Canis lupus familiaris: one gene and its partners. The protein of the gene in region 4 purifies or fractionates together with the protein of the main gene of each other region. This does not show direct contact. Links are inferred from orthologs where the notes say so. Each region holds a gene or a part of one and is shown on either strand. Other genes may lie near its edges.

What was found.
Region 1: the proteins of HNRNPA1 (region 4) and KHDRBS1 purify together in Homo sapiens (co-immunoprecipitation; 4 studies listed by BioGRID and IntAct, with this or other methods). This does not show direct contact. The link is inferred for Canis lupus familiaris from reciprocal best matches to the Homo sapiens genes HNRNPA1 and KHDRBS1.
Region 2: the proteins of HNRNPA1 (region 4) and LRPPRC purify together in Homo sapiens (affinity purification with mass spectrometry; 3 studies listed by BioGRID, with this or other methods). This does not show direct contact. The link is inferred for Canis lupus familiaris from reciprocal best matches to the Homo sapiens genes HNRNPA1 and LRPPRC.
Region 3: the proteins of HNRNPA1 (region 4) and HNRNPM purify together in Homo sapiens (affinity purification with mass spectrometry; 6 studies listed by BioGRID and IntAct, with this or other methods). This does not show direct contact. The link is inferred for Canis lupus familiaris from reciprocal best matches to the Homo sapiens genes HNRNPA1 and HNRNPM.
Region 5: the proteins of HNRNPA1 (region 4) and HNRNPF purify together in Homo sapiens (affinity purification with mass spectrometry; 3 studies listed by BioGRID, with this or other methods). This does not show direct contact. The link is inferred for Canis lupus familiaris from reciprocal best matches to the Homo sapiens genes HNRNPA1 and HNRNPF.
Region 6: the proteins of HNRNPA1 (region 4) and EIF4A3 purify together in Homo sapiens (co-immunoprecipitation; 4 studies listed by BioGRID and IntAct, with this or other methods). This does not show direct contact. The link is inferred for Canis lupus familiaris from reciprocal best matches to the Homo sapiens genes HNRNPA1 and EIF4A3.
Region 7: the proteins of HNRNPA1 (region 4) and HNRNPH2 purify together in Homo sapiens (affinity purification with mass spectrometry; 3 studies listed by BioGRID and IntAct, with this or other methods). This does not show direct contact. The link is inferred for Canis lupus familiaris from reciprocal best matches to the Homo sapiens genes HNRNPA1 and HNRNPH2.

The regions. Positions count from the first base shown.
Region 1 is NC_049223.1:68,522,173-68,525,977, reverse strand, and holds part of KHDRBS1 (KH domain-containing, RNA-binding, signal transduction-associated protein 1), read left to right. Parts: coding exon 1-59; intron 60-573; coding exon 574-641; intron 642-1,422; coding exon 1,423-1,481; intron 1,482-3,767; coding exon 3,768-3,805. UniProt on the Homo sapiens protein: Recruited and tyrosine phosphorylated by several receptor systems, for example the T-cell, leptin and insulin receptors. Once phosphorylated, functions as an adapter protein in signal transduction cascades by binding to SH2 and SH3 domain-containing proteins.
Region 2 is NC_049231.1:47,443,137-47,446,941, reverse strand, and holds part of LRPPRC (leucine-rich PPR motif-containing protein, mitochondrial), read left to right. Parts: intron 1-842; coding exon 843-900; intron 901-1,977; coding exon 1,978-2,084; intron 2,085-2,301; coding exon 2,302-2,379; intron 2,380-2,722; coding exon 2,723-2,767; intron 2,768-3,096; coding exon 3,097-3,210; intron 3,211-3,805. UniProt on the Homo sapiens protein: May play a role in RNA metabolism in both nuclei and mitochondria. In the nucleus binds to HNRPA1-associated poly(A) mRNAs and is part of nmRNP complexes at late stages of mRNA maturation which are possibly associated with nuclear mRNA export.
Region 3 is NC_049241.1:53,435,809-53,439,613, forward strand, and holds part of HNRNPM (heterogeneous nuclear ribonucleoprotein M), read left to right. Parts: intron 1-492; coding exon 493-546; intron 547-2,741; coding exon 2,742-3,544; intron 3,545-3,805. UniProt on the Homo sapiens protein: Pre-mRNA binding protein in vivo, binds avidly to poly(G) and poly(U) RNA homopolymers in vitro. Involved in splicing.
Region 4 is NC_049248.1:45,637,684-45,642,235, forward strand, and holds the start of HNRNPA1 (heterogeneous nuclear ribonucleoprotein A1), read left to right. Parts: upstream 1-1,462; 5' UTR 1,463-1,715; coding exon 1,716-1,730; intron 1,731-2,281; coding exon 2,282-2,398; intron 2,399-2,705; coding exon 2,706-2,852; intron 2,853-2,981; coding exon 2,982-3,192; intron 3,193-3,290; coding exon 3,291-3,383; intron 3,384-3,479; coding exon 3,480-3,572; intron 3,573-3,833; coding exon 3,834-3,908; intron 3,909-4,101; coding exon 4,102-4,260; intron 4,261-4,552. UniProt on the Homo sapiens protein: Involved in the packaging of pre-mRNA into hnRNP particles, transport of poly(A) mRNA from the nucleus to the cytoplasm and modulation of splice site selection.
Region 5 is NC_049249.1:3,803,408-3,807,768, forward strand, and holds the start of HNRNPF (heterogeneous nuclear ribonucleoprotein F), read left to right. Parts: upstream 1-1,277; 5' UTR 1,278-1,365; intron 1,366-1,679; exon of another isoform or gene 1,680-1,685; 5' UTR 1,686-1,750; intron 1,751-2,289; exon of another isoform or gene 2,290-2,434; intron 2,435-4,361.
Region 6 is NC_049230.1:2,448,296-2,452,100, forward strand, and holds part of EIF4A3 (eukaryotic initiation factor 4A-III), read left to right. Parts: intron 1-202; coding exon 203-265; intron 266-838; coding exon 839-971; intron 972-1,166; coding exon 1,167-1,247; intron 1,248-2,913; coding exon 2,914-3,055; intron 3,056-3,435; coding exon 3,436-3,574; intron 3,575-3,805. UniProt on the Homo sapiens protein: ATP-dependent RNA helicase. Involved in pre-mRNA splicing as component of the spliceosome. Core component of the splicing-dependent multiprotein exon junction complex (EJC) deposited at splice junctions on mRNAs.
Region 7 is NC_049260.1:75,730,374-75,734,334, forward strand, and holds the end of HNRNPH2 (heterogeneous nuclear ribonucleoprotein H2), read left to right. Parts: intron 1-199; exon of another isoform or gene 200-418; intron 419-1,229; 5' UTR 1,230-1,282; coding exon 1,283-2,632; 3' UTR 2,633-3,458; downstream 3,459-3,961. UniProt on the Homo sapiens protein: This protein is a component of the heterogeneous nuclear ribonucleoprotein (hnRNP) complexes which provide the substrate for the processing events that pre-mRNAs undergo before becoming functional, translatable mRNAs in the cytoplasm. Binds poly(RG).

The DNA of each region.
Region 1 (3,805 bases), on a different chromosome or scaffold from region 4:
CAGGCATCCAGAGAATACCTTTGCCTCCACCCCCTGCGCCGGAAACATATGAAGAATATGTAAGGAGTTGGAACAGTGTGCTGTTTCCCAATACCTAGAAGGTTGCCAAAGTTGAATGATAGGGCGTTGGCCTTTGACATAGGTGGCAGGGACAACCTATAAGAGATCTGGAGTCAGTCTCTTCTCTTGCAGTGAGCATTAAAATATGAGAAGATTTTTTCCATTTTAAGCAGTTTACTATGTGTGAATAGATTAAACAGGAAATAGGCTGTACCTTGATATGTATAGTCTTTTAGTAAGGGGTCTTTTTGCTAGTACTACTGATAATTCTCAACTTCAACTGTTTACCTTGTTTCCTGCCCACAATTTGAAAGATGATTTGGTTTGGTTGGTAGTTCAGTTTTGTTTCGTTTTTTAAAAAAATAACCCTTTCTCTCTCAACAATTCCCCAGTGAGTGTAAATTTTGGAGGGAAGTTTTGCATTGTTAATCTGGGAGTCTGCCATCCTCCTATGAGTTGTAATTACCTTCCCTACTCTGTGTGATTCTGACTATTTCATTTTATTTGTTCCAGGGATATGATGATACTTACGCAGAACAGAGTTATGAAGGCTACGAAGGCTATTACAGCCAGAGCCAAGGGTAAGTCAGGCAATAGAAGTGCTGTTTCGTGTCCTAGGGATGGATGGGAGGGAGTTTGAGCAACTGAGAGATTTAGGTAGGACACATCTAAGGAGCAGCGTGGCTCCCTTTTGGAAAGTATCGCCTTTACTTTCCATATCTGTAGGGCACACAGATCTATAAGCTTAGATAGCTGTGAATCTTAATTTACAGTGTAGAATTTGGGAATAGCAGATGGAAAATTACTGAGCTGTGACCGCATGGAAATGAAGGGAAAATGCCATTAAATTGTTTTGATGTATTCTTGTCACATTAAAAGTGCATTAAAGTTTAAAAGGAAGCCTAGAATCTTACTACCATAACTTGGGTTGTTTTGTGCACTCGTCTTAAATAATAATGTTTTTGTGTATACATATTTTGTCTGTGATTGATTGAAAAGTGTCTCATAATTATACAGTGGGGACAGGAACAGCATGTTTGTTTATTCTCTTCCAATGAGCCCTATAAATGTGTGTGTGTACACTATAATTAAGATGGTCAGTTTTGGATTATGCTCTCTCACTTTAAATTATGTGGCATCCATCTTTGCTATGGTTATCAATTTTTTTTTAATAATTACTAGCTCCTTAAAAAAAATAATTACTAGCTCCTATATGTTTTGAAATGTTTTCTGGTTTGGAGATGGGGCAGAACGAGCATTTTCCTGTCTTCCACACCTATTAAAATGACTGAAATGTGAGAGGAATGAGAAATGGAAACAAGAGTTACTCTAGCTCTCTAACGCTCTGTCTTTGGCTTTCAGGGACTCAGAATATTATGACTATGGACATGGGGAGGTTCAAGATTCTTACGAAGCTTATGGTATGTCTTTATTTCCATGGTGGGCAAAGTGTGCAAGTAAGTGCCTGCAGGAATGCTGGTGACTCAATTATTGGGGGCCACCAGTCACATACTGAAAGAGGAGCTTTTAGAAAGCTGAGATGTTGGTAGATGTGACAGTAGCTGTCCTTCTCTTATTGAAATTGTGTGATGTGGCATAGAAAGAGGAGCTCTTAAGGTGAAATGGGGTACTGTTACTCTTGGAAGGCTAAGTAGGTATCTTAAACTAGGGCTCAGGTCCAGCTTGGTCTGGTTGGAGCAGCAGACTTTTAAGTTGATGATGATCTTTTTCTACGTTAGACCAGGAGAGATGGCCAGGCCTAGGTCATGTTGCAGGGCCTTTGCTGCTGGTGCCTAGGCCACATTAGTAGATAATAAGAACTTAATCATATCTAACTTTATTCTCCAGCCCCACTTCATTTTTAGCAACGATTTTGGATCTCATTGAAAAGAATCTCAATGTAGAGGAAATGTTAGCTGAAAGAGAACGAGACGGCAAGTAGCTAGCCAAAAGCAGGTTGGGTGCAAGAAGAGTGCCTATCAGCCTCAGATCTGAGGCTATAAGAGCTAGAGCCAATTCAGCTCCTTACTTGCTTGGAGACCTCTCAACTCAGTCCCTGATCCCAAAGGACCTATAGAGGCTGGAATGGCAGTAGGACCAAGCTGTCTTCCCTGAGGTTTAGTTGAAAACACATTGCTCAAGAGTGTCCTCAAGAGCCAATTATGGCCCTGTGTTAATGGGCCCCAGAGGGAGTGCCATGTGGCAATGGGTGCAGAGAGAGCAGCCTTTTGAATGCAAGGATTTTCAACATACTTGAGGGAGTTCCAGAGTGCTTGGTGAGGGGCTCAGTAATTGACAGTTCATCTTAAGACGCTAGTAAACAGTCTCTCCTTACCCCTAGCTGAAAAGGAGGAGGTGGGGAGCCTCTTAGAGCTCCCACTGACAGACAAGCTGAGCTTTACTCCTCAGCACAGTTATGTAGTAGCCAGTCAGCTGCTTGCCTAGAGAAATGGTTTTTACCAATTCTAGCTAAATGGTACTGGACAGTTGCCATCAGTAATGCTGCACTGCTCTGAGGCCACCGTTTAAAAGGGCAGTGGGATTGCCCTAGGGCATTCCATCCATTGGTGAGGCGGCACAACGGGGCCTCTGTATGTGTTTGACTAAATTACATTTCTGTTTTGCCAGAAAAGAGACTGGACTGAAAGAGTCAGACTGCTTCTTTTGCTCCTGGTGTGATGTTGCTGCAGTTAATCTGTTATGATTTCTACCTTTTATAAACAGAATTAGAAAAATAAACTGTCTTGTTAGTACTAGAAGCCACTTGGAAAGTAATGGATGTACCTATCATACTAAGGGTATAAATAGGCTTGCATAGGGTTCTGTGGGACTGCGGGTCCATATAGAGGTTTTAGACCTGTAGAGATGGAGGCTCATATTTGTGAATGCAGGCAGCTGGAGAAATACATTGGGGATGAACTGGCATAGGTAAAGTATGGGGGCGAGTGGGAAGAATAAGCTCATAATCCCAACTCCTGTTCATAAGAGGTCAGCTGTAGAAGTAAGGGATCATGTCCCTCAGGCTTTTCCCTGTATCAAAGGAAAACCATTTGAGGATGTCAACCACGTTATCTGGCTTCTCTGGACTACTGCATGAGAAAGGAAATCATGAATTCTCCATCATATCAGTGTTATGAATACATTCAATTGTACTTCCCTCCGCCAGAGCAGTGGACCAGCTCTGCTGGTGGGGAGGCCTCATGAAATGTGGCCCTTGCTTGTTCCTCCCAGAGAGCCAGAGGACACTTCTTAACAGGGAAACCTGACTTACTGGTGGAAAGGGAGGCCACCTGATTTCCAGTCTGAAAGACCTCGCAAAGTTGCCACATTACCCAAGACTTTCTGCCAGATGCTTTTGGGAACGGGAAGAAGGACATTGTGGACCCACTGAGATTCATCTCCTTACTGTCTCAAGCAAGGTGTTGGTTTATCCAGGTTTGGGGGTTGGAGTAGATCATGTTGCCAGTGGAGAACCTCTTTGCTGAAGATGATTCCAGGCCTTTTCTGAGCTGTTTCCTTCTGTCCACTCAAAATTGCCCCGTTCCAGAAGGCCAAACAGAGCGAAAAGTGAGGACCACTGGGATGTGGCAAGACACGGGAGGGAAGCAAAGCAGTGTTTTTGGTGATCTTTACCATATGACCTACTCCTGCTCATCCCAGCATGCCAATGGCACATGGTTTATAAATTGTTCTTGCTTTCCCCACAGGCCAAGACGACTGGAATGGAACCAGGCCGTCGCTGAAG
Region 2 (3,805 bases), on a different chromosome or scaffold from region 4:
GCAGTATCTTAAGAGCAAATAAGTTCAGTCATAGAATAGACATAAAGTAGTTCAGAATTCCTAGCTTATGTCACTTTGGAAAAGAGCCGTTTGTTTCCGTTCTTACTGTCTTTATCCCAAGGATGTATAGTCAAATACTGTGTTCAAAAGTTATAGGTCAGTACTGTAGGTTTGTAGTCATTTTCATCATAAAATACATATTTGGATTTCTTCAGTTAAAATTTTGCTAGCAGAATTAATGTTGAATAAATGTTGTGTTTGTACAATCAACTGATAGGAATCTGTGAGAACAAGCACATTAGAGCTTTTGACTCCTTTGGTTTTAATGCCATTAAAATACCTGGAAAAATGTCATTGGGAAAAAACTAAAAAAAAAAAATTTAAACTATTTAGCAGTCTAGTGTGTTTTACTTTATTATTTCTGTAATACATCATTTGAAAGGAGGAAACTGGTCCAATTTCAATAAGACCAAAAACAACACAATGAGAAATATATTGGCTGATAATTCCTATAAACTATTTCCTGTTTCTTTAAAACAATATATAAACAATATATAAACAAAATATATAAACAAATCTGTTTGGAGGGTTTCTTAGTGACAGTTCATGAAACATTGTAGTTTTCCTTCAACATGGGTTTGTTTTGTTTTTGTTTTTAAAGACAAACCTGTTATTTAAAAACGAAACAATTTCCTTGGCTGGTGGGGGTAGTGTTGAATTACTGTGATATAGAATAATACCTTACTGGGAAGAAGCTTTATTATTTCAAGAATTCAATTTCAGATTGTATTTGTTCTTGTTTGCTTCTCTTGCTGCAATGCGTGCATTTTCTGTCTTACCAGATAACAGAACTGTTGTATAAGGATGGACGTTATTGCCAAGAGCCTCCAGGACCAACGGGTAGCGTTTCAATTTCGATGATTGTAACTTATCCACAAATCCATTCTTCTGTGTAATGATGGGCTAGAAGGATTACAGCAGTAAACATTTTCTTTTTGAAAGTGAAATTTGAAAACATTTGGTTATAAATCTTTATATTGATAACCACAACATTTTGAGATCTCTGAGGTGTTTGGTTTTATCATCGTAATTGTTTTACAGACAGGATTGGAGGCTTTTTTTCTGTTTGAAGAAAGGAAATGCTTCGTATAGCACTTAGGAAAATAGACTTAAAGATGAGTCATTCTTAGTGTTTGTTATTTTAATGTTTTGCAGGTGTGGCTAATTTTAAATAAAAGAGATCTTTAATCTTTAGGCTTTTCCCCCACTTAAATGTAATTTATTATCCAAAATATAGTATTTTGGCATTTAATGATTTTTATTTTCCATATAATAAAGCCTAGAATATATGGTTTTCAAGAAGGTACCCTTCTTGAAAGTTCAGATTTTCTATCTTAGGTATTAACACATGGCCATATACATTTTATGCTTGAATGCATAGGAAAATTACTGTTGTTACAAAACATCTTTGTTAATCTTGGTTTTTCATTGGCTAATAGGCAGCTCTCCACAGGATTACTGTATCTACTTATTAAAATTATTTAACTTTCTATACTCAACATTTGACAGTTGTTCCTAATTTTATGTGTTCCCTAAATATTGCCCACCAAAAGATTAGTGCAGAAATGTGTACAAGGCATTTATTTATTCTTCCTCCTTGTGATTTGGACAGGAAAGGGGTAAGGCCTTGGGCAGGACCACTTCTGTCACAGAGTGGTGGAAAAAAATAGATTGAAGTAAGATTCAGTACTGAAAAGCTGTCACTCGGTCTGAAAATAATTAATATTCCTTTCACTCACCAGTTAGATATGTGCTCCCAAACCACATAATCTCTATGCCTCAGTGATCAGTGTTGCCATTTCAGAGCCTCTCATCAGGGTGACATCTCACACCAAAATGATTTCTTATAAATTAATCTTGATAACATGACAGTCTCAGTAATTTTAGTGGAATGCTTTCTCTTGTTTTTTTCCACAGAAGCTGTTGGCTATTTTCTTTATAACTTGATTGACAGCATGAGTGACTCAGAGGTACAGGCCAAGGAGGAGCGTTTGAGACAATACTTCCATCAGCTGAAGGAGATGGTACCATTTCATTTTTTGCTATATAATGCCTGTCCTGTCTGACATGTATCTATTAGATTTGAAATTGCTGCTTTTAAGTACAACCAGACCACTTCTCAATGACATACACGAGTTGGAGACTTAAATTATGTCTGAGATAATTTCTGTTAGACAAATTTCAGTTTGGTTGTCTAAAACTCAGGATTTTTTTTTTTTTTTCTTCTTTCCCTTTGTACAGAATGTAAAAATTACTGAAAATCTCTACAGAGGCATTCGTAATCTACTGGATAGCTACCACGTTCCTGAATTGATTAAGGTGTGTGTGAAATAGTAATCAAAATTTTAAAAAATACTTAATTTATATATAAAAGCATGTTAAAATTGTATTTAGTATGATGCTTCTGGCCAAAAACCGTTTACTTAAATGACAACCATTAAAAGAAGGTTTTTCATTGATGGTTAGTAAATACTGTTTATATATTGAAGAATGTGTTTAAAATATTTTTTACAATGGTTAATGAAGTATGAATAGAATTTCTGGAAGATTTTGAAAAGATAGAAAAATAATAAAATGAGCTGAAACTTCTAAAATTCCTTTTGACATTGGCTAATATATTTTTCCATGTGTTTTCTAATTTTAATTTAAATCTCAATTTTAGGATGTTAATATATTGGTTGATAGAGAGAAGATTGACTCTCGAAAAGTAAGTAGGTTCTACATACTATAACCACCACATTTAATTACAGAGAATTCTAGCTTGGGTCCTTATGAACCCAGTGGTTCCTAACATTTTTGTCATCTGCATACACCTAAGAAGTTGATAACAGCTGTTCCTCATCTCAGAAAAATCAGCATATCTAAGAAATTTGCATGCGTATCTCAGGAGTTTAAAAAAATCCCTGGAGTCCATCCATGGATCCCCAGATTAATGACCTTGATAGCATTTATACTTCTAGGAAAGGTCAGTTTAAAGGGAAGAATGACAAGGGGCACATTTTCCTTTTGTAGTGAATTACTTTCCTTTTCCTGTAGACTATGCAGCTGCCATCATCTGTTTTGGAGACTACACTTGAAAAACTAAAAGCTGAAAATCAACCTATAGGAGATGTTCTAAGGCAACTCATACTAGCGCTTTGTTCAGAAGAGGTAACGTTTGTTTAAATATTTCAAATGTGCTATTAAGGTAAAAAATTCTTTATAGATAAAAGTAAGCGAAGCCACATATAATATTTATGATTTTCACAATTGATTATTATACGTCATGCATGTGAAAAGTGCAATTAAATGAAAGGTTAACTAATTTCAGCTACACCTTGAATGGCATGTTTTCGGGTTGCTGTAGTTTGTTTACGATAATCTGCAAAGTGAATGATAGTAACAGCCGTGATAGGTTTATCATACATGCCAAATGTCCTTTCAAGCCATGGCTCCGGTCTCTTATATCTAGATTGTCAAGCAACTGATACATGCAGTAGTCATTTGCAAGTCAAATATTACTAGGTTGTTAATGCAGGGATTGAAATTCCATTTTCCTGCTGGAAAAAAGCTCTTTCTGAGATAAAGGGTCTCTTGCCTTTTTTTCAGCAGGCGTCCAGCTGTACTTTGTGTTCATTTTAGTGTGTGTCTGCAATTTGTGGTATATCACTAGACTTTTTCAGTTTCTAGTTCAATATGATTTGGTTGTATGCCTGTGTTTTTAGAGGAAAAAAACATAACTGACGTTAAGATTATAACATGGTAC
Region 3 (3,805 bases), on a different chromosome or scaffold from region 4:
TGCATGCAATTGTTGCTGGTTTTCAGGACTTTGACAGTACAGCCATAGCTTGAGTTTGCTAAGAGATAACCGTGAGTTGTTGATCGAATCTGGTGGGTGTGTGCAGGCTTCAGTTTGAGTACTGAGGGTCTGGATCAGCTTTAGAAAACTATGCTACCCCCCACCCCCATTCTTGCTCTGATGTTCGCAGTTCAATTCATTGGTGCATACTGACTCTTTACTTAGCTCTGCTGGGCGCATTCCCAGATGGTCTTGCCAACTGGGCCTCAGACTCTGGAGCTACATGGGAACCTAGAATCATGACCCATCATCAAGGACTCTTACGGTTTTCCAGTAAAATTATCCTGTCTATATGTGTATTTCTTAATCCCTCCCCCCTTTCCTTGTTTTATTTTTAAATTAGTAATATTCTTATTCTGGAATCTGTATTAAACAAATTTCTGTTATCGTAGAGAAATTTGGCTAATTTTTTTTTCTTCCTGATTTCCTTAGAAATCCTAAGTAATGCACTGAAGAGAGGAGAGATCATTGCAAAGCAGGGAGGAGGTAGGAAACGCTTAGTTTTGATGTTTTGATTTTTAGAATAGGTTGTTATTACTGGGGATAGTAAGAGTGTAGTGGTGAAAAGCATGGGCTCTAAAATAGACTGCCTGGGTGGGAACCAGCTCTGTCTCTTCCTAGCGTGTGACATTTGGCAAGTTACTGAACCTCTCTGTTTTCCATATTGTAATATGGGGTTATAATGGTACCTACTTCATAGGGTTGTTGTAAATGAGTTAATGCATAGAAAAAAATATTTGTATAAGTGCTATATGTAAGCATTAGCCATTGTTATTATAATTCCATGTAATTTGGGGCCTTTGTTTTAAATACTGTAAAATTGTAAATTCATAAAAGTAAATACCTGATTAAAAGGTATACTACCTCCAAATCTAACAAGTGCTTACTAAGCTATACACATGTACTCATAAATATTTGGAAAATTATAAAGTAAAAAAAAAAAAAAAGAAAATTATAAAGTAAGTAAATACCTGCAATTTCACTACCCAGTGATGAGTGTTGTAAACATTTTGGGAATATCTTTTCATTAATACACTTTTTAAAAAAAATGGGTATTTAAAACTAAATGAACTTTTCCAGCTTGAATGCCTCACTTCCCCATGGCTCTGAGTGTCTTGGCATTTCCTTGGTAGCTCCACTTGCTGGTTATTTCTGTGGTGTGTGATACTAGAACTCCATGTGGGCACCGTTTTCCCCTTGTTCTCTGTTGCTGTTGGCATCCAGGGGGTCAGCCTGATTAATGATATTCTTGAGCATGCTACTGCCCTTTCTAGTATCTTGCTTTTTTAAATACTTTTAGAAATTTTTGCTCTGAAAGACTAATATTCCCCCCCCCCCCCTTTAAAAAAGATTTATTTATTTATTCCTGAGAGAGAGGCAGAGACATAGGTAGAGAGAAAAGCAGGCTCCTCACAGGGAACCTGATGTGGACTCGATCCCTGAACCCGGGATCACACTCTGATCCAAAGGCAGACAGACACTCAACTGCTGAGCCACCCAGGTGTCCCAAAAAAAGACTAATCTTAAATTTTTATATTTTGCCACTTGGTGTGCTGTTACTCAGCTGAGGAAATGGAGAAGTGGAATGACATGTGATGTCAGCCAGAGACTCACAGAAACTTCTGAGTTTCCTTTTCTTCAATTACATCTTGGACTGGGCTGCTTGGGTCACTAATGGGCTGGCTGTGGACTCAGCTGACCTTTTTTAGAGGCAGGTGGCAGTGGTGATGGCGAAGCTTGAGTGAGAAGGGACCCTTAGAGGCTCTGAATGTGGAAAAGTGGTGGGCAGTGGCCTTGGAGGTGGAGCCAGCCCCACCTTCTACAGAGTTACCAGCAAAACAGGGTCACTGCATTGCTGACACGAAAGCATGTGTCCAGCTAAACCATGGCATCGAGAATTGATCTTAGACCTCTTCTAGAATCTACTCTGCAATGCCATTGACTTCTTTTCCTCTAAAGCCAGCAGAGTTATACACAAGTTATTTGGTGGTTTTCCTCACAGAGTAAGGCTCCCTGGAAGTGCCTGTCTATCTAGACATAGAGGGTCTATATTGGTGTTTGTTTTCTTTATCTACTCTTATTTACATGGCTGTATACTAGCTTCTTTATGCCTGGAGGTGCTAAGGAAATGCAGCCAGACTGGCCATCAGCAGGGCATCTGAGAGGGACAAGCTGGGAGAGGGTAAAGGTTGTGAGTGATTTGAATTGTCACATACAATCCATGTAATCCATTTTACAGACTGACCAACTCAGGGTGGGGTTTCTGAGCTTTGAGAGCATTTCTCAGTGTCATTTGGTGGGGAGACCTCACAGTTCTTGGGAATTGACAACCATGGCTCACAAAGCTAGTTAGAAGTACTAGGGCTTCCGAAGTAATGGTGGAGAACGTTGTTGACACAGTCCTCCAGGGTAGAATTTCTCCCTTTTTAAAATTTTACTATGGAAATGTAAGCTGTGGCATAGAAATAGGAAGAACAATGTCCTCACTACCCTGCCTTAACAACAGTTAAGCCTTGACATTTGAGGGATGTCTAATGGTAAATTGTTGTGGGACTTAATTCCTGAACTGTGTTTGAGCTTGTGAAGTGTAAGCCTCTGCACCCAGGTCACCCTCCTGGCATGGTGTGCACACAAGTGTGCAAGTCCCTGATACCTGCCTCTGTTTTGTGTCCCTGTTCCAGGTGGAGGTGGAGGCAGTGTCCCTGGGATCGAGAGGATGGGCCCTGGCATTGACCGCATTGGGGGTGCCGGCATGGAGCGCATGGGCGCAGGCCTGGGCCATGGCATGGATCGTGTGGGCTCCGAGATTGAGCGCATGGGCCTGGTCATGGACCGCATGGGCTCAGTTGAGCGCATGGGCTCTGGCATCGAGCGCATGGGCCCACTGGGCCTCGACCACATGGCCTCCAGCATCGAGCGCATGGGCCAGACCATGGAGCGCATCGGCTCTGGCGTGGAGCGCATGGGTGCCGGCATGGGCTTTGGCCTTGAGCGCATGGCCGCGCCCATCGACCGCGTGGGCCAGACCATTGAGCGCATGGGCTCTGGTGTAGAGCGTATGGGCCCTGCCATCGAGCGCATGGGCCTGAGCATGGAGCGCATGGTGCCCGCAGGCATGGGGGCTGGCCTGGAGCGCATGGGCCCTGTGATGGATCGCATGGCCACCGGCCTGGAGCGCATGGGCGCCAACAACCTGGAGCGAATGGGCCTGGAGCGAATGGGCGCCAACAGTCTCGAGCGCATGGGCCTGGAGCGCATGGGCGCCAACAGCCTGGAGCGCATGGGTCCTGCCATGGGTCCAGCCCTAGGTGCTGGCATTGAGCGTATGGGCCTGGCCATGGGTGGCGGTGGCGGTGCCAGCTTTGACCGCGCCATCGAGATGGAGCGTGGCAACTTTGGAGGAAGCTTCGCAGGTTCCTTTGGCGGAGCTGGAGGCCATGCTCCTGGGGTGGCCAGGAAGGCCTGCCAGATATTTGTGAGAAATGTAAGTGGCTCTTCAGCAACTTGATGGTGGTGGTAGGCACAAAGGGAGGAAGGGTGAGGGGACAGGTTGAAGTCAGAGTCGGTGCCTTCAGTAGGAAGGGTAGCAATACAAAAGGCCACCTTGCTACTGTCCCCCCAAATTTGGTGCTAGTAGGATAAGGAAGGACTGTGAGAGTGTATGAACTGTGCATCAGGAGCCCTGGGTTATCGGACTGCTAGGTGGAACCAACAGTGAGTGAGCTCAGGAACAACCCGAGCTTCT
Region 4 (4,552 bases):
CCCGGGCCCTGGACACGGACGCACGGCGGGAGGCGGCCCTTCCCACACTTCTCCTGCGGGCTCACGAGCATCCGCCACCGGTCCGGGGAAGGCCGCGGCGTTCCGCGCACACGTGGGTCGGCGCCTGTCCGCGACGGCAGCGGCTCTTGTTCCGATGCGCGCGGACGCTGCCGGCCAAGCGGGTTCCCGACGACCGGCCGAGCTCCCCTGGGAGCCTCCACGCGCGGGGCGACCAGAAGCCCCGGGGTGCGTGTGCGCGTGCGCGTGCGCGAGCGCGTGGAGCGGTTATGCCGAAGCCGAAGCGACACGCCACAGAGTCAGGGTCTCCCTACCGGAAACGCGTGTGGGGTGAAGGCCCGAGCGCCGGGCGCCGGCGGCCACTGTGGAGAGAACGCGCGCCCCCGCGCCCCCGCGCCCTCCCGCCCGCTCCTCCACAGCCCGCAGCGAGGCCTCCCGCTTCCGCACCGCTGACTGGGCGACCCGCCCGGGCGCCGTCCGCAGGCCGCCCGCCGCCGGCTCCACAGCGGGGCCTCCCCCTCGGAGTCCGCCCGCCGCCTCCGAGGAGCCCAACCTACGGCGCGCTCGGCGCCCATTGGCTCGGCGGGACGCTGCTCAGGGCGCAGGGCCCGCCCCCACGTCCCGAGGGCCCGAGGGCCCGTCCGTCGGCGGCAAAGGCGGACCCGATTGGCCCGCGCGCAAGCCAGTCAGACTCCGGGCCGCGGAGCCCCACGGCACTCCCGGCCGGCAGACATCCCGCCCCCGCCGTCCATTGGTTGGCTGAACCCAGCGCTCCCCCTTTACGAGCCCCCACCCCGCGCTCCATTCATTTCACACAATAACGGGCCCAATTGGAGTCAGTTCAACACCTCGTATGAGTAGGCGAGACGATCCGCCGCTTACCCGGAATCGAGACCGGCCACTCGCGCCAACGCCTCCCCTGTTCCTCTGTGGCGAGGCCGGACCACGGGACGCCGCCGCCGCCGCCTTCTGCGCAACGCCAACCGCCCGCCAAAACGGATCCTTCCCTGCGCCTGCGCGGCCAATCCTGCGACCGGACCCTTTCTCCGCCCATTACGCCTGCGCAGAGCGGGGCGCGACTCCCGCCACGACGCAGGCGCCGTAGAGTCGCCGCCGTCTCCCGCCCGCCATTTCACGTGCTCCAAGCGCCGAGCGGAACTGGTTAGTGCGCCTGCGTAAACTCGCCATTTTACTACACATGCGCCCGGCGGGCGGTCGTTTGCAAAAAAAAAAAAAAAGAAAAAAAAATCACCTGATAACCTCGTTCGTAATATATTAGCATTTACCGTGCTTCGCCAACTGAGCGGAACATAATTTCGGGGCGGAATGGATTGAAAATTCATTTAAATACCTTAGGTTCGTTCAAATATGAATGACTGGTTGACGAGCCAATCACAGTAATTAGGAATAATATTACCCGGGAACCAATAGACCTGAAGGGGCGGAGCCTGCGTAGAACGCCCAAGCGGATGACGTTGCGCAGCAGTGCGGGGCTATAGACCAATAGCAGGGGGAGGCTATCGCAAACATCCAATCAGAGACGCTCAGGGGCGGAGTCTACCAATGCCTAAAGCGAGGAGGCGGGATAAAAAAGCGAGGCCGAAGGTAGGCTGGCAGATACGTTCGTTAGATTACTCCTTTCTGCCCCTGGACGCCGCCGAGTAAGCATCGTTAAAGTCTCCCCTCCCACCGCCGTCATGTCTAAGTCAGAGGTGAGTAACACGCTGTCTCCCGCCTAGTTTCCTTCCTCACTCCTTCCCTGGGGCCGGTAGGACGCGGCCTGGCGTGGCCGCTCGCGCCAGCCCGTTCGGCAGCCCTTCGGGGGCCGCCAGGGCCTTCCCCTCCCGAAGTTGAGGTCGCCATTTTGTCCTCGTCGTCGCCATGAGGCCGCCGTCCTGCAGCGCTTGGCTGTGGCGCCGGGCTGCGCCCTCCCGGCAGAACTCGCGGGCGCATTCGACGGGTTTTGTTTGATCGTGTCTCCGGGAGCGAGTTTCTTGCGGAGCAGCCGTAGTTCCCCGCCGCTTCGGCGTCCGTCCAGCCGAGTCCTTTTGTTGCGCGTGCGTCGGAGGGAGAGTCGGGGCGCATGCGCCCGCGGCCTCCCAGCCCCCACCGCTCGGTCCCCCCCGAGGGGAGAAGCACGTGGCCTCCCGTAACCCGAGGGAACAATACGTGCCTTGTAACGCTGCTGTCTAGGATTTTCCTCCCAACGGGACGGGGCTGGGCGTTGGGCGCGCCACGTAACGAGCTGTGTCCCCGCTCCTAGTCTCCCAAAGAGCCCGAGCAGCTGCGGAAACTCTTCATCGGAGGTTTGAGCTTCGAAACGACCGATGAGAGTCTGAGGAGCCATTTTGAGCAATGGGGGACGCTTACGGACTGTGTGGTAAGACGTGCCGGAGACGGAGGGCCCGGGAGCGAGGTGGCTTCCGCCGCTCCGACGGCGGTTAACGGGACTGGGGCGGAGAGCCGGCCGGCGCCGGAAGGGGTGGTCCCAGCCGCGGAGGCGCTCCCGGGAGGAGATGCACGTGTGGCGGCCCCGGGGAGCCGGAGGGCCTCGTGGGCGGGCGGGGGGGGGGGGGAGGGGGCGCGCTTTTCTTTTTTTTTTTTTTTTTCTTTTTCTTTTTTTAATTTGTAACTCAGCGTGAGAAGTTCCGGGGTTCTCCTCAGTATTCAGGGAGCTCACCTTTCAGGTAATGAGAGACCCCAACACCAAGCGCTCCAGAGGCTTTGGGTTCGTCACGTACGCCACCGTGGAGGAGGTGGACGCGGCCATGAACGCCCGGCCGCACAAGGTGGACGGAAGAGTCGTGGAACCAAAGAGGGCTGTCTCCCGAGAAGTGAGTGAGGGTTTATTCTTTCCTGGGCAGACGCAGAAGCGGGCCGCCAAGGGGACCTCGCGGTTAGGGGTGGCTTGGTCGGTGTAAATAACGGAATTGTGTCCGTCCCGTCCCCCCCCCCAACAATAGGATTCTCAAAGACCCGGTGCCCACTTAACTGTGAAAAAGATTTTTGTCGGTGGCATTAAAGAAGACACTGAAGAACATCATCTAAGAGATTATTTTGAACAGTATGGGAAAATCGAAGTGATTGAGATCATGACTGACCGAGGCAGTGGCAAAAAGAGAGGTTTCGCTTTTGTGACCTTTGATGACCACGACTCTGTAGACAAGATTGTCAGTAAGTGTCGGGCATGCTCTTTGCTACGGCTTCTGAAATCCATGTTACGTTCTAAAGCCTGAGGTCATGTTCTCTTGGAATTTTTTTTTTTTTTTTAGTTCAAAAATACCATACTGTGAATGGCCACAACTGTGAAGTAAGGAAAGCCCTATCGAAGCAAGAGATGGCTAGTGCTTCGTCCAGCCAAAGAGGTGCGTTTGTTCAGTTAATCCTTGCACGTGAGGATTAATTAACTGAGTGATTCTCCAATCCGTATAATGTAACATTTAAAACTTTTGTGTTTTAAGGCCGAAGTGGTTCTGGAAACTTTGGTGGTGGTCGTGGAGGTGGTTTTGGTGGGAATGACAACTTTGGTCGTGGAGGGAACTTCAGTGGTCGAGGTAAGTTTACCACTCAAAGTTAACAATAAATTTATACTTTGATTATCCCCAGGTCCCTTTTTCCTCTGCAGCAGATTAACTCCTGGCTTAAATTTTATCCAAGTGTAGATCTGGCTTTTTACTAACCAGAAAGTTAAATCATCAACATTGGGATCATTTTTGTAGCACAGGAAGTATCTTTATAGAATTCTACTTTAAAACAACATAGAACACGTATACTCTGTACACTTCATGGTGGTTTAAAACTCTACTTTCTTTCAGGTGGCTTCGGTGGCAGTCGAGGTGGTGGTGGATATGGTGGCAGTGGGGATGGCTATAACGGATTTGGTAATGACGGTAAGTTTATTTTAAGGAATATATAGGTGGAGTTTCGTTTGGCAACCTTTAGACTAGGTTAGTAGAGCTAAACTAGTGCATGATAAACAGCTCTGATAACAGCATGCTGTGAGCAGGCTTTTAGGCATTACACTTGCACAGGTTTTGACTGTGAAATACTTTTGTCTTATTGAGAAGAATTGTATTCTTGTAGGTGGTTATGGAGGAGGCGGCCCTGGTTACTCTGGAGGAAGCAGAGGCTATGGAAGTGGTGGACAGGGTTATGGAAACCAGGGCAGTGGCTATGGCGGGAGTGGCAGCTATGACAGCTATAACAACGGAGGAGGCGGAGGCGGCTATGGCGGTGGTAGTGGTAGGTATCCAGTGATCCAAGTACTTGGTGCAAAAGCTAGATTAGCCCTTTAGAGTTTATGTCCCTAAGGGGATTTAATGCTCTTAAAAAGCATCATGTGGTACGATGCATGGTATTTTTTAATGGGCTTGCTAATGCTACCTCCTCCTAGCTTTAAGCTGGGGCCGCCTCACTCCCAAATAAGATAGATGGATAAGTGGATAGTGGTGCCTTTAATCAGAATTAGATTAGTTTCCAGCAGGATTTAGTATATGACTCCTTTGGGATCTTAGGCACTTGGTTGATAGATCCA
Region 5 (4,361 bases), on a different chromosome or scaffold from region 4:
GAGGCTCTCAAAGATTATTGCATTGTTGGGCAGCCCGGGTGGCTCAGCGGTTTAGCACCGTCTTCAGCTCAGGGCCTGATCCTGGAGACCCAGGATGGAGCCCCACGTGGGGCTCCCTGCCTGGAGCCTGCTTCTCCCTCTGCCTGTGCCTCTGTCTGTCTCTCTCTCTCATTAATAAATAAGTAAAATTTAAAAAAAAGGATTATTGCATTGTTGATCAATAATGAACAGGGAGCCCCTCGAAGGGATCAAAGAGCCCGTGTAGCTTGAGTCTCTCTTAACGGACTATATAAACATATCTTCTTGGACCTGGCTTCACAGTCCCTTAATTCTGAAGCACTATTTTTTGTTACCGTTTTAATATTTGCCTCAGATTGGCTGCTTGCATTCTCTCTCCAGAACCACTTTTCTACAGTCTGCTATGATGAAGTCATTGTGGAGTTTTGTGGGAACACCTACCTGATTTTTGTAGGACTCATTTTCAGTAATTTTGCTTTAATTTTCTCCTTGTACATTTTCACCCCCTCTAACAGCTCTTCCTTTCACTTTTCCCATTTTTCTTTCCTAGAATCAGCTTTTGACAAACTGCTTTTTACTGTCATCCGCTCATAATCTGCCACTGCTCCAAACATTCCCTTAATTTAACCAGTGATTTTAAAATAATCTGTTCTGTGAAACCTGTGATGAATGCCTTGATCTCATCCTCTTTATAAAGAGTCTCCAAAAATTAAAATGGTGATAATTACTAACTCCAGAACACATCAAGAAGTCTCCACTGCTCTCAGGCTGGGAAGCCATTTCCACCCAGCCTTTAGTTTCAGGTGTTCCCTTGGGTCTTCTGGGTCACCTTCAGAGACCGGGGACTCCTCAGCCCAAGTAATCAACATGTGAGCAACCTCAGTGAACATGTTACTCCTTCCCTAAATTCTGCAATCGGAGCCGCCTTTATCCGTCTCGCTGTTTTCGGTTCCCTATTTTCTCCTTGGCAGGAAATTACTCTTTTTTTTCTCTCACGCTGATCTTCAATACCGGAGTCCTTGAGGTCCCGGTTTAGGGGGGGAACTCTCCCAGTCAGCATCTCCCGGAGCTCAACGCTGCCGCGGTCAGACCCTCCCCCGCCCTGAGAAAGGGCTGGCGCGAGGCAGCGGCTCTCCTCTCCACAGCGTCCCCTTCCGCAGGCCCCGGCCCTGCCCCGCGCCCCGCAGACCAATCCCTGGCTCCGCCCCGGGAGCGGCACAATGGCGCCCTCGCGGCCCCGCCCCTGGACGCACGCCGCGGAGGCCCCGCCCCGCCCCGCCGCGCTCCTCGCGTCCTTCCGGCTCCGTGGTGGAAGTAGCCCTTCGCCGCGTCTTCCTGGAGAAGAAGGTGGGGTTCCGCGGGGAAAGCGGCCGGCGGTCACGCCAGCAGCCGGAAGTGGGGTGGGGGCGCGGGCTCTCCGGGCAGCGGCCCTCGGGTGCTGGGGTGCGGCCGAGCGGGGACTGGGCGAGCCCGGAGCAAGCGGGCTGCGGGAAACGCCGCGTGCGCCCGACGGGCGGGAGTTGTGCGCCGGGGCCGGCCGCGCGCCAGGCCCCGCCCCTCGGGGCCCCGCCCAGGGCGCGCTGCCAGGGGTTTCCATGGTGATGGTAAACAAGCCTCAACTGCCTCAGCTACAACTGCCAAGTTCCCCGCGTTCCACCCTCCTCTAGGTGCTCAGAGGGACGATCGAGGTGCCGGATGTGAAGAGCGGGAGCGTGGAGACCCGGAGCCCGAGGTGAGGGGCGGGACGGGCGGCGGGTCGGAGGCTGAGGGCCGCACCACTGGGACGGACCGAGAACCGGGCCCTCTGGGCTGGGGGCGGCGGGGCTGGGATACGGATTTGGGGGAGGCTAGGTCTGAAGTCAGGGGCCTCACCCACGGGGACCGAATGGGCATTGGGCACGCAGGGGCTGAGGGTTGGGGTCGGGAGAGGCAGGGGCTGAGGTCAGGGACTGGGCCCCCTGGGGCTGAGAATTGGGGTCACGGAAGGTGGGGTCAGAAGTCCACGGCCGTAGAGTCGGGGACTGGACCCCTGGACTGAGATCGCGGGTGCGGGGAGGCAGGCCTGAGATCAAGAGCCATCCCCTCGGGGACTGGACCGCTGGGCTGGGATTCAGGGCCGCGGGAGGCAGGGAGGGAGGAAAGGCCTGGTGCGGCCTCCGGGGTTAGCAGAGCTTGAGCGCCCTGCCAGAAATAGCGCGAGGGCACCTGACGACCGTGGGAGAGGGGCTTCATTTAAAAATGAAAGCAGTACTTTCACGTGGTTGAGTTGCACCAGACTGGTTGGCAACTGACTCCTCCCCCCTCCCACGTTCCCGCTCGCTGAGCCTCCACTTTCGGTCTTTGAGGCCTTTTCTTCCTCTCGGTGTGGCGTGTGAGTGCCGAGCGCCGGTCTCCGTTTTGTCTCCTGCTTTTAGAGGTATTGTGTCTGGTTTTTGGGTAGAAACTCTTTGGTTCTCGTTATCTCTGCCGGGTGACCACACTTACGCGGAGCGAGCTTAATCGGCCGTTTCTTTTTCCCTTGCCCTTTATTTCTTTGTATCCTTGAATGTATTTTTTGCTGGTTCTTGACTGCGCCTAAGAAACTTCTGGACTCTGCCGGCGCTTGCGCTGCGCCCTCTACCTTCGGTGTGCCCGCGTGGGTCCCTGAAAGTGGCGCCGGGCGGCCTGGTGACGCCGGCAGAGTCCGGGGACTCGCCCGACCCCGTCTTTTATAGACCGGGTTAGGAGGCCACAGGCCCCTCCCTGTTGGTCTGTTCCCTTCAGGAGCTCTCAGGTTCTCGCCGGACAAATCCCCAGACCCCGGAGAGCCCCTTCCCCAGCTCCAGCAGGAACCCCCTCCCCCGCCGCCCCGCGTCCCTCGGGCCGGGCCCGCCGGCCGGACTCTCCTCGCAGTAGTTCCCTTCCCCCGAGGCCTCAGGACGCAGGAACGTGCTTCCTTTAGCTCTCACAGCTACCTGGGGGTGTCCGGGCTCCTGTCTGCCCCGCGGCCGCGTGCGTGGCGGGAGCGGGGTCCGCGAGCTACGGCTCGCTGAGTGGGGGGAACCGCCCGCCGGGAAGGGGGCCCCCGAGGTGCCCAAGGTTAACGCCGCGCCTCAGGTCTCCGGAAGTTGGTGGCGCTGGAAGAGCTCTGAACACTTCAGATACTCTTTCAGTTCAAAACGTGGTCGAAATTCCCTATCTTAAATGTAATTCTATTACTTACAGTCATTTTTTTAAAGGTTAACGGTTTCTGAATTTCTAGTAAGAATGAAAATACTTCGGGTTCTCCGGTTAGACAAAAAAATGCGTTGGGGTATGTCAGTGAAAAGTGATGTTTTCAGTGTTAATTTCTAGTCAAGATTCTTCATTTTGAAGTGAGTAAATTTCTACTTATGAAGTTTGGGAGAGGTTGCTGATGTTACTAATTACTGGTCTTTAAGCAAGCCCATCTTTAGTCATCTCTTGTGCCTGTATGCATTTCTGTAATTTGATTAGATTTATTACATACTAGGTCTTTTTTATTTTAGGTTTTAAAATAATTTTTTAAAAAGATTTTATTTATTCATGAGAGGCAGAGACACAGGCAGAGGGAGAAGCAGGCTCCTCACGGGGAGACCGGGGGAGACCGATGTGGGACTTGATCCTGGGTCCTTGGATCACGCCCTGAGCCGAAGGCAGAGACCCTCAACCGCTGAGCCCCCCTAGGCGTCCCTAGTTTTTAAAATTTTAACATTGTTTTTGTGGTATTTTTTTGGCAATTTTTAAATTTTATTACTTTTTAAATTTTTATTCTTGAGAGACATAGACAGAGGGAGAAGCAGGCTCCACACAGGGAGCCCCATATGGGACTCGATCCCGGAACTCCAGGATCACGCCCTGAGCCAAAGGCAGACGCTCAACTGCTGAGCCAGCCAGGTGTCCCTGTAATTTAAAAAAAAAAATTAGCAGGTGACTGGTTTTCATTTAAAAGTCTTGCTACAGGGCAGCCCGGGTGGCTCAGCGATTTAGCGCCGCCTTTAGCCCAGGGTATGATCCTGGAGACCTGGAACCAAGTCCCACGTTGGGCTCCCTGCACGGAACCTGCTTCTTCTTCTGCCTGTGTCTCCGCCTCTTTCTCTGTGTGTGTGTGTCTCATGAATAAATAAATAAATAAAATCTTAAAAAAAAACAATGGCCTTTATCAATGACAATTTGCTCTCCTTTAAAAAAAATAAAAGTATTGCTACAAAGCTTCCTGTAAACATAAAATATTCAGGTAAAAATGTGAATTGATTTAAGTGAAAAGATTGATCAAAATAGGTTAGTCTTCAGATATGGCCAAAACTGAAGGTGAGTGTGGAGACATCCCGGGCCCATCCAGGATA
Region 6 (3,805 bases), on a different chromosome or scaffold from region 4:
TGGCCAAGCAAGAATTCTGCCCAGTGAACCCCATGATGACTGGGTTCACACATGAACTTACATTCAGGTTCCTTTGTCTCTATTAGAAATGAGATGTATGGTTAATGCGATGTAACATTCAAGATAGATCTGCATCTGACTTCGTGCAGTCTGCCTTGAGAATACTGAGGATTCTCTGTTTTCTGACAAATTATTTTACCAGGTTCGTGAAACCCAGGCTTTGATCTTGGCTCCAACGAGAGAATTAGCTGTGCAGATCCAGAAGGTGAGCCACTGAGAGTTAGTGCTGTATTCCCAAGTGCTGCTTTCTGATTCAGGTGTAAAAGGTTGGCTGGTTGATTTAATCTAATCCTGTTTTTTTCCCTCAAATTTTACTTCCTGATTTTTGGCATAAATCATTGTTATGATTTATGTTGTTGGTTTATACTGAGTCATTTTTACTGAGTCATTTTTAGTGTAGCTGGTATGATTCCAGTATCTTTTTGCAGTCTCAGAATTGTAGTTTTTTTCAACAAAGAAATCATTTTAGTAGTTATTTTTGTACTTTATATTAAGATGTTGTTAGAATTGTTTGTGAGTGGCTAAAATTATGAGTTTTACGTATTTCCAGGGCTTTTTGTAATTAAAATGTATTTCTTTCATAAGAAACCAGTAAAGTGAACTTTATTTTGGCATGGAAGCAGGAGGTTGGGTCTTTTTGTAGTTTTATGGTGTAAACGATGGAATAAGTAGTACTTGGTATGTCGGAGTAGAGATTACCTTCACTTTGGGGAAACTTGGAGGTCTCTGACTTTGGTCCTGAGGTGAGGCCCCAGACGTGACCCTTGTTTTAATTCAGGGTCTGCTCGCTCTGGGGGACTACATGAATGTGCAGTGCCATGCCTGCATCGGGGGCACCAATGTGGGAGAGGACATCAGGAAGCTGGACTACGGGCAGCACGTTGTTGCTGGCACACCTGGACGTGTCTTTGGTAAGTGCTTGGGGCGTTACAAGAAGTGCTTGAAGGACCCAGGACCGTTTCCATTTGCTGTGCTGTGTGGTAGCGCTTGCGTGCAAGTGATGTAAGAAGTAGGCAAGAGGCCTCAGAAATGCTCTGAAAACCAGGGGGAATGGCTGGCTGTTTCCTCGTGGTCCGAGGTCTAAGGATATCAAACTGATTCCACAGATATGATTCGGCGCAGGAGTTTGAGGACACGGGCCATCAAGATGTTGGTGTTGGATGAGGCTGATGAAATGTTAAATAAAGGTAGGAGTCACGAAAGCAGAGATTTTCTCTTGACTTTAATGTTAACACGTTCACATCGTGGAGCTGAAACATGGAGCTAACGCCAGTGTTCTCGGTGCTAGCAGATGCCCTCGTGCTCTCCGGGCAGCTGTGAACGTGAAGCTTGTACTTGGCTCTTGGGGAGCTGAGAGCAGTCACGGCCAGAACCACAGCATCTCCGCCCAGACTGGCGCAGCATTGCTCCCACATGTCTGGAGCTCAGCATAGATGGGGAGGTGTGCGGCTGAGATGAGGCGTGTAGAAATGCCTACTGTGGGTTGTGGGGGGCACAACGGTGTGTCAGGGAAGCTAGATTTATGGCAACGGGGCGTCCCATTGTCTAGAGACTGTCATTTATTTAACTAGTTGTCCTGTTAGTTGTCTAGGCTGATTTTACTCTTTTACCAGTTAATAGGATAAATTTCTAGACTGGGACGTGTACTTTCTAGGCTTTTCATGTTGTTTCTACCTGAGTGTCTGAGGACAGATCTGTGATGCCTCTCTGTGTGGCAGCTGTGGCGTTAGTCCAGCGGTGAGGAAATACATCGTGAAGATGTACCTTGAGCCCGGGGCATTGTTACGTGCAGCGACAGGCAGTGCTCCCTCGTGTCTCCCCGCTTGTCCTTTCTGCACACGCCCTCCCCTTCGGTCTCCACATCATACTGGGGGGTATGGGGTGTCTCATAGACATCGGGGTCATCCAGGTGGAGGGAGTGCTTGCCTCTCAGTGCTCATCTGCTGCACGGGTGGGACCCTCAATGGTTCTGATGTCCAGGTCCCTGGAGGCTGATGCTGTCCTGAGGGCTGCCCCCCCGCCCCTCCAGCCCAGGGCTTCTCACCTGAAGACTTTGCTCCTCAGCTGAGAGAGAGGCATAGTGACTGGGGCACTCAGGTGGCTTCCTTAGTGTCTGAGGAAGCCATGGCTTGCTGGTGGCTCCTGTGCACCTGTCCCATGGGCAGCAGTTCTCAGAGTGAGGTCTCCAGACCACCAGGGTTCACGTTATCTGGGAATTTGTTAGAAATGCAGATCTTGGGCTCTGATGTTTGGTTACAACCTCAGTCTGTGAATGGGCTCTCTTGGAGGCTGGGGACCCCCTTGTCTGGGCTTTCTCACACATACTTCCTGGCCCTGTCCTGCCCAGTCAGGCAGAGATGGGGGTGGGGTGAGTGACCTGTGGGCCAGGTCCCAACGATGGAGGTATAATTGACACGTGATGCATTAGTTTCTAGTACACAACTGTAATGATTCCGTATATACATATAGAAGATTTTTTTAACTGGAAGATTGTTTTATAAAAATCCAGATCCCTGGATTCTCTTAAATGTGGGTGATCTTTCCTCAGCGGACAGATCCTCACAGGGTGGCAGGAGCTGGGACTGGGGTCCTGACTGCCAAGAGGCAGCCGAGGTCGTGGGATGACCCAGGGCTGGGGTTCTTTTGCTCTTAAGCATTGGCACCCAGGCCTCCGGGTGGGGCTGTGATCCCCAGAGCCCACCTGGGAGGGGAGGGGTGAGGAGCGGCAGAGAAGTGGGGCACGTGGATTTCCTGGTTCTGTGGAAGATTCCTGGGGAAACCTCACACCTCACAGTCGTCACTTCTGTGTCCAAGTGCAACCTTCAGACTCCCTGTGCCTCCTTCTGTGTCCAGGTTTCAAGGAGCAGATTTACGATGTGTACAGGTACTTGCCCCCGGCCACGCAGGTGGTGCTTATCAGTGCCACACTGCCTCACGAAATCCTGGAGATGACCAACAAGTTCATGACAGACCCCATCCGCATCTTGGTGAAGCGGTAAGAACACCCTGCTTCTGGGTGGTACAAAAACAGCCACGTAGCTTGTATTTAAGCTTAAAACATGAAAATTCTTTGTTTTCTGGTTTGAGAAACCAGCTTACATATGTGTATTGCCCCTTGGCCCAGTAATTCGAAATTTATACACCACCTGATGGTGTTTGTCCGTCTGTGTTGTGGGGGTAAAATACATAAAACAGGGGCTACCTAGTGGCTGTTAAAGGCTCAGACAGGTCAGCATGTGGCCCGAATGGCGGGAGTGCTGACGGCCGGGAGCGGCGGGGGCCGCCGTGGGCCAGGCTAGGAGCAGTGCTCGGCTTGTGTGCGCCCTCAGGTCTCGGTGAGCGGATGAGTTCACAGCACTTGTCTGTATCTTCCAGTGATGAATTGACTCTAGAAGGCATCAAGCAGTTTTTTGTGGCGGTGGAGAGGGAAGAGTGGAAATTTGACACACTGTGTGACCTCTACGACACGCTGACCATCACTCAGGCTGTCATCTTCTGTAACACCAAAAGGAAGGTAAAGCAGTAGCTGTCTTGGCTGTTCAGTGTCCTTTTGGGCAAAACCGAAGGTTGGTTCTCAGAACGCAAGTCAGCCCTGCTCTGTAAAGGCTCAGAAGTGAACAGTCGGATGTATCCAGTGAAACCGAACAAGTGTTGATGCTGGTCTCATGACTGAGGCTTGGGAGTCCGTGGTTTTATTTATTTATTTTTTTAAAGATTTTATTTATTTATTCATGAGAAACAGAGA
Region 7 (3,961 bases), on a different chromosome or scaffold from region 4:
CTGCTTAACCAACTGAGCCACCCAGGGGCTATCCTTTCTTTTTTAAAACTGTTGCCTTAGGTGAAATCCTTATTGCCAAAAAGAGGTTGGGGTTATAACTGATCCTGCTTGTGTCACACCAGCCCCCTCTGTTTGAGTTCCACACTGTTGCCAGGGTGATCTATTATTTGAAAAGGCTCTGGTTACCTCACTTTCCTCCCCTCACTCCCTTACCCACTCCCTTACCCATTCCCTTACCCTCACTCCCCTACCCCACTCCTCTGTTTTAAAACCCTTAGAAGACTCTTAACGTTTGTCTATCAAGTAAGGCCTTTGGGATCTTACTCTCTACCTTGCCAGCCTTAACTTCTTGCCTGGGCTCATCCTATTTTATGCTCCATTGTAATTTTTAAAAATTTATTTGTGGATCCTTGAACTGGTGAGTCTGTTTAAACAATTCTGTGCCAACTGTTAGAATTGACCAACTAGTCCCTGTTTTATACCACCTTTTCACGCTATACAGAATTTTGTCATAGCAGGAATAATGTTTATTTGCCCTTTTGCCTTTAGTAAAGATGTATAATGCCCCTGTAGGACTATAAACCCTTTCTTGGTTTATTGATCCTTGTATCCCAAAGCCAAGTACTGGACTTGCCAGTTGAAAAATATAAAATGAATGTATGATCACCCTTAATGTCTTTTTCCCATTTATTGCTTAGGCCTTAATATTTCCTTGATTTTATTAATTGGCATGAGTTCATTATATAAGGATATTAATGTACTGTTGTGTCTTCTCAAGTGTATTGTCTTTTAATTCTGTTTAATCTTACCTTTGATGTAATGAAGTTTTTCATTTTTATGTAATCAGGTATAGCTATCTCGTATTTGTTCACAGCTTCCAGTGATTTTGCTGCTGATTTTTTATGCCTTTTGTGTTCTATGATGTTAATATATGTTCAATATAGAAAACCTAAAACATAGAAATGTCCAAAGAAAATACTCCTTTAATAAAAAAGTTCCCATAAGCCTACTGCCCAGAAATAACCACTATTAACGGTATTCAACACATAATAGGTATTGAGTAAATAATCTTTGGATGAATGAATTAAAAATTTGGTGCAGTCTTTTTATTTATATGAATATTTTAGAACAAAGCTATCCGTTTGAGTTTTATATTATTGGTTTGCTTTTTTCTCTTACTATGTTGTGAACATTTTTCCATGACAATAGTCTTCTAATTTTTTTTTTAGCTACACTGAAACTGCATTGAGCCAAGCTTGCCACCAAGAGCCCAACAATCATCATGATGCTGAGCACGGAAGGCAGGGAGGGGTTCGTGGTGAAGGTCAGGGGCCTACCCTGGTCCTGCTCAGCTGATGAAGTGATGCGCTTCTTCTCTGATTGCAAGATCCAAAACGGCACATCAGGTATTCGTTTCATCTATACCAGAGAAGGCAGACCAAGTGGTGAAGCGTTTGTCGAACTTGAATCCGAAGATGAAGTGAAATTGGCATTGAAGAAGGACAGAGAAACCATGGGACACAGATACGTTGAAGTGTTCAAGTCCAACAGTGTTGAAATGGATTGGGTGTTGAAGCATACAGGTCCGAATAGTCCTGATACTGCCAACGATGGCTTCGTCCGGCTTAGAGGACTCCCATTTGGCTGTAGCAAGGAAGAGATTGTTCAGTTCTTTTCAGGGTTGGAAATTGTGCCAAATGGGATGACACTGCCGGTGGACTTTCAGGGGCGGAGCACGGGGGAGGCCTTTGTGCAGTTTGCTTCGCAGGAGATAGCTGAAAAGGCCTTAAAGAAACACAAGGAAAGAATAGGGCATAGGTACATTGAAATCTTCAAGAGTAGCCGAGCTGAAGTCCGAACCCACTACGACCCCCCGCGAAAGCTCATGGCTATGCAGCGGCCAGGTCCTTATGATAGGCCAGGGGCTGGCAGAGGGTATAATAGTATTGGCAGAGGGACTGGGTTTGAAAGGATGAGGCGTGGTGCCTATGGTGGAGGGTATGGAGGCTATGATGACTATGGTGGCTATAATGATGGCTATGGCTTTGGGTCTGATAGATTTGGAAGAGACCTCAATTACTGTTTTTCAGGGATGTCTGACCATAGATATGGAGATGGTGGGTCCAGTTTCCAGAGCACCACAGGGCACTGTGTACACATGAGGGGATTACCTTACAGAGCCACTGAGAATGATATTTACAATTTTTTCTCACCTCTTAACCCCATGAGAGTGCACATTGAAATTGGACCCGATGGCCGAGTTACTGGTGAGGCAGATGTTGAATTTGCTACCCATGAAGATGCTGTGGCAGCTATGGCAAAAGACAAAGCTAATATGCAACACAGATACGTGGAGCTCTTCTTGAATTCTACTGCAGGAACAAGTGGGGGTGCTTATGATCACAGCTATGTAGAACTCTTTTTGAATTCTACAGCAGGGGCAAGTGGTGGTGCATATGGTAGTCAAATGATGGGAGGAATGGGCTTATCCAACCAATCTAGTTATGGGGGCCCTGCCAGCCAGCAGCTAAGCGGGGGTTATGGAGGTGGGTACGGTGGTCAGAGCAGTATGAGTGGATATGACCAAGTGCTGCAGGAAAACTCCAGTGACTATCAGTCAAACCTCGCTTAAGTAAACAATACTAAACAGCTATTACAAAAATAAAATCTCTGCATTTATGGGAGTTGTAGAATGGGAGGGATGTCTAGTATATCCAGTATGATTGGTAAATGGGAAATACTGATTCTGATCACTCTTGGTCAGCTTCCTCTTTCTTTCTTTCTTTCTTTCTTTCTTTCGTTCTTTCGTTCTTTCGTTCTTTCATTCTTTCCTTTTTTTTTTTAAGAAAACAAAAGTTAAGTTTAACAGTTTTGCATTACAGGCTTGTGATTCATGCTTACTGTAAAGTGGAAGTCAAGGTTTTACAACTTTAAGCTCAGTAATTTTGAACACTGAAACATTCATCTAGGGTGTAATAACAACGTTCAGTATTGACCATAACTGTTAAAACAATTTTCAGCTTTCCTCAAGTTAGTTACATTGTAGGAGTATACCTAAGCAGTAAGCATTATTTAGGTTAAAGCAGTTTCACTTATGTTAAATGTTGCTCTTATACCACAATACCTTGAAAACTTTGGATGCATGTTGAGAAACATGCTTTTCTGTAAAACTCAAATATAGGAGCTGTGTCTACGATTCAAAGTGAAAACATTTGGCATGTTTGTTAATTCTAGCTTTTTGGTTTAATATCCTGTAAGGCACGTGAGTGTACACTTTTACTTTTTTAAAGATCTGGGACAATTTTGAGATGTAATACCAATACTTTAGGAGTTTGGTCATGTTGTTTGTATGAGATTCTGAGACTTTGATTTAAACCTTTCCTTGTATTGTGATTTCCATTAGATGTATTGTACTAAGTGAAACTTGTTAAATAAATCTTCCTTTTAAAAATGAAAAATCTTGTGCAGCTTGATTTCTTTTAAAAATTTTATTTATTTGAGAGAGAGAGAGGCAGAGAGATCAAAGAAGGAAAAGCAGATTTGCCGCTGAGCCGAGAGCTGGATGCAGGGCTCAATCCCGGGCCACTGAGATCATGACCTAAGCTGAAGGCAGACATTTAACTGAGCTACCCAGGCGCCCCAACAGCTTAATTTTTTAAAAATGTTCCATCATATGAACCATTTCTTTGATACAAGTCCTCTGCACTTGAAACTTATTTTTTTAAGATTTTTATTTATTTATTTGATAGAACAAGCAGGGTGGAATGGCAGGCAAAGGGAGAGGGAGAAGCAAGACTCCACACTGAGGAGGGTCCCGGACATGGGGCTTGATCCCAGGACCTTGAGGTCATGACCTGAGCCAAAAGCAGATACTTAACCCACTGAGCCACCCAGTGCCCCTGCCACTGAAATTTAAATTTAATTTTTATAAACACACATTAGTACCATCATACATAAATTG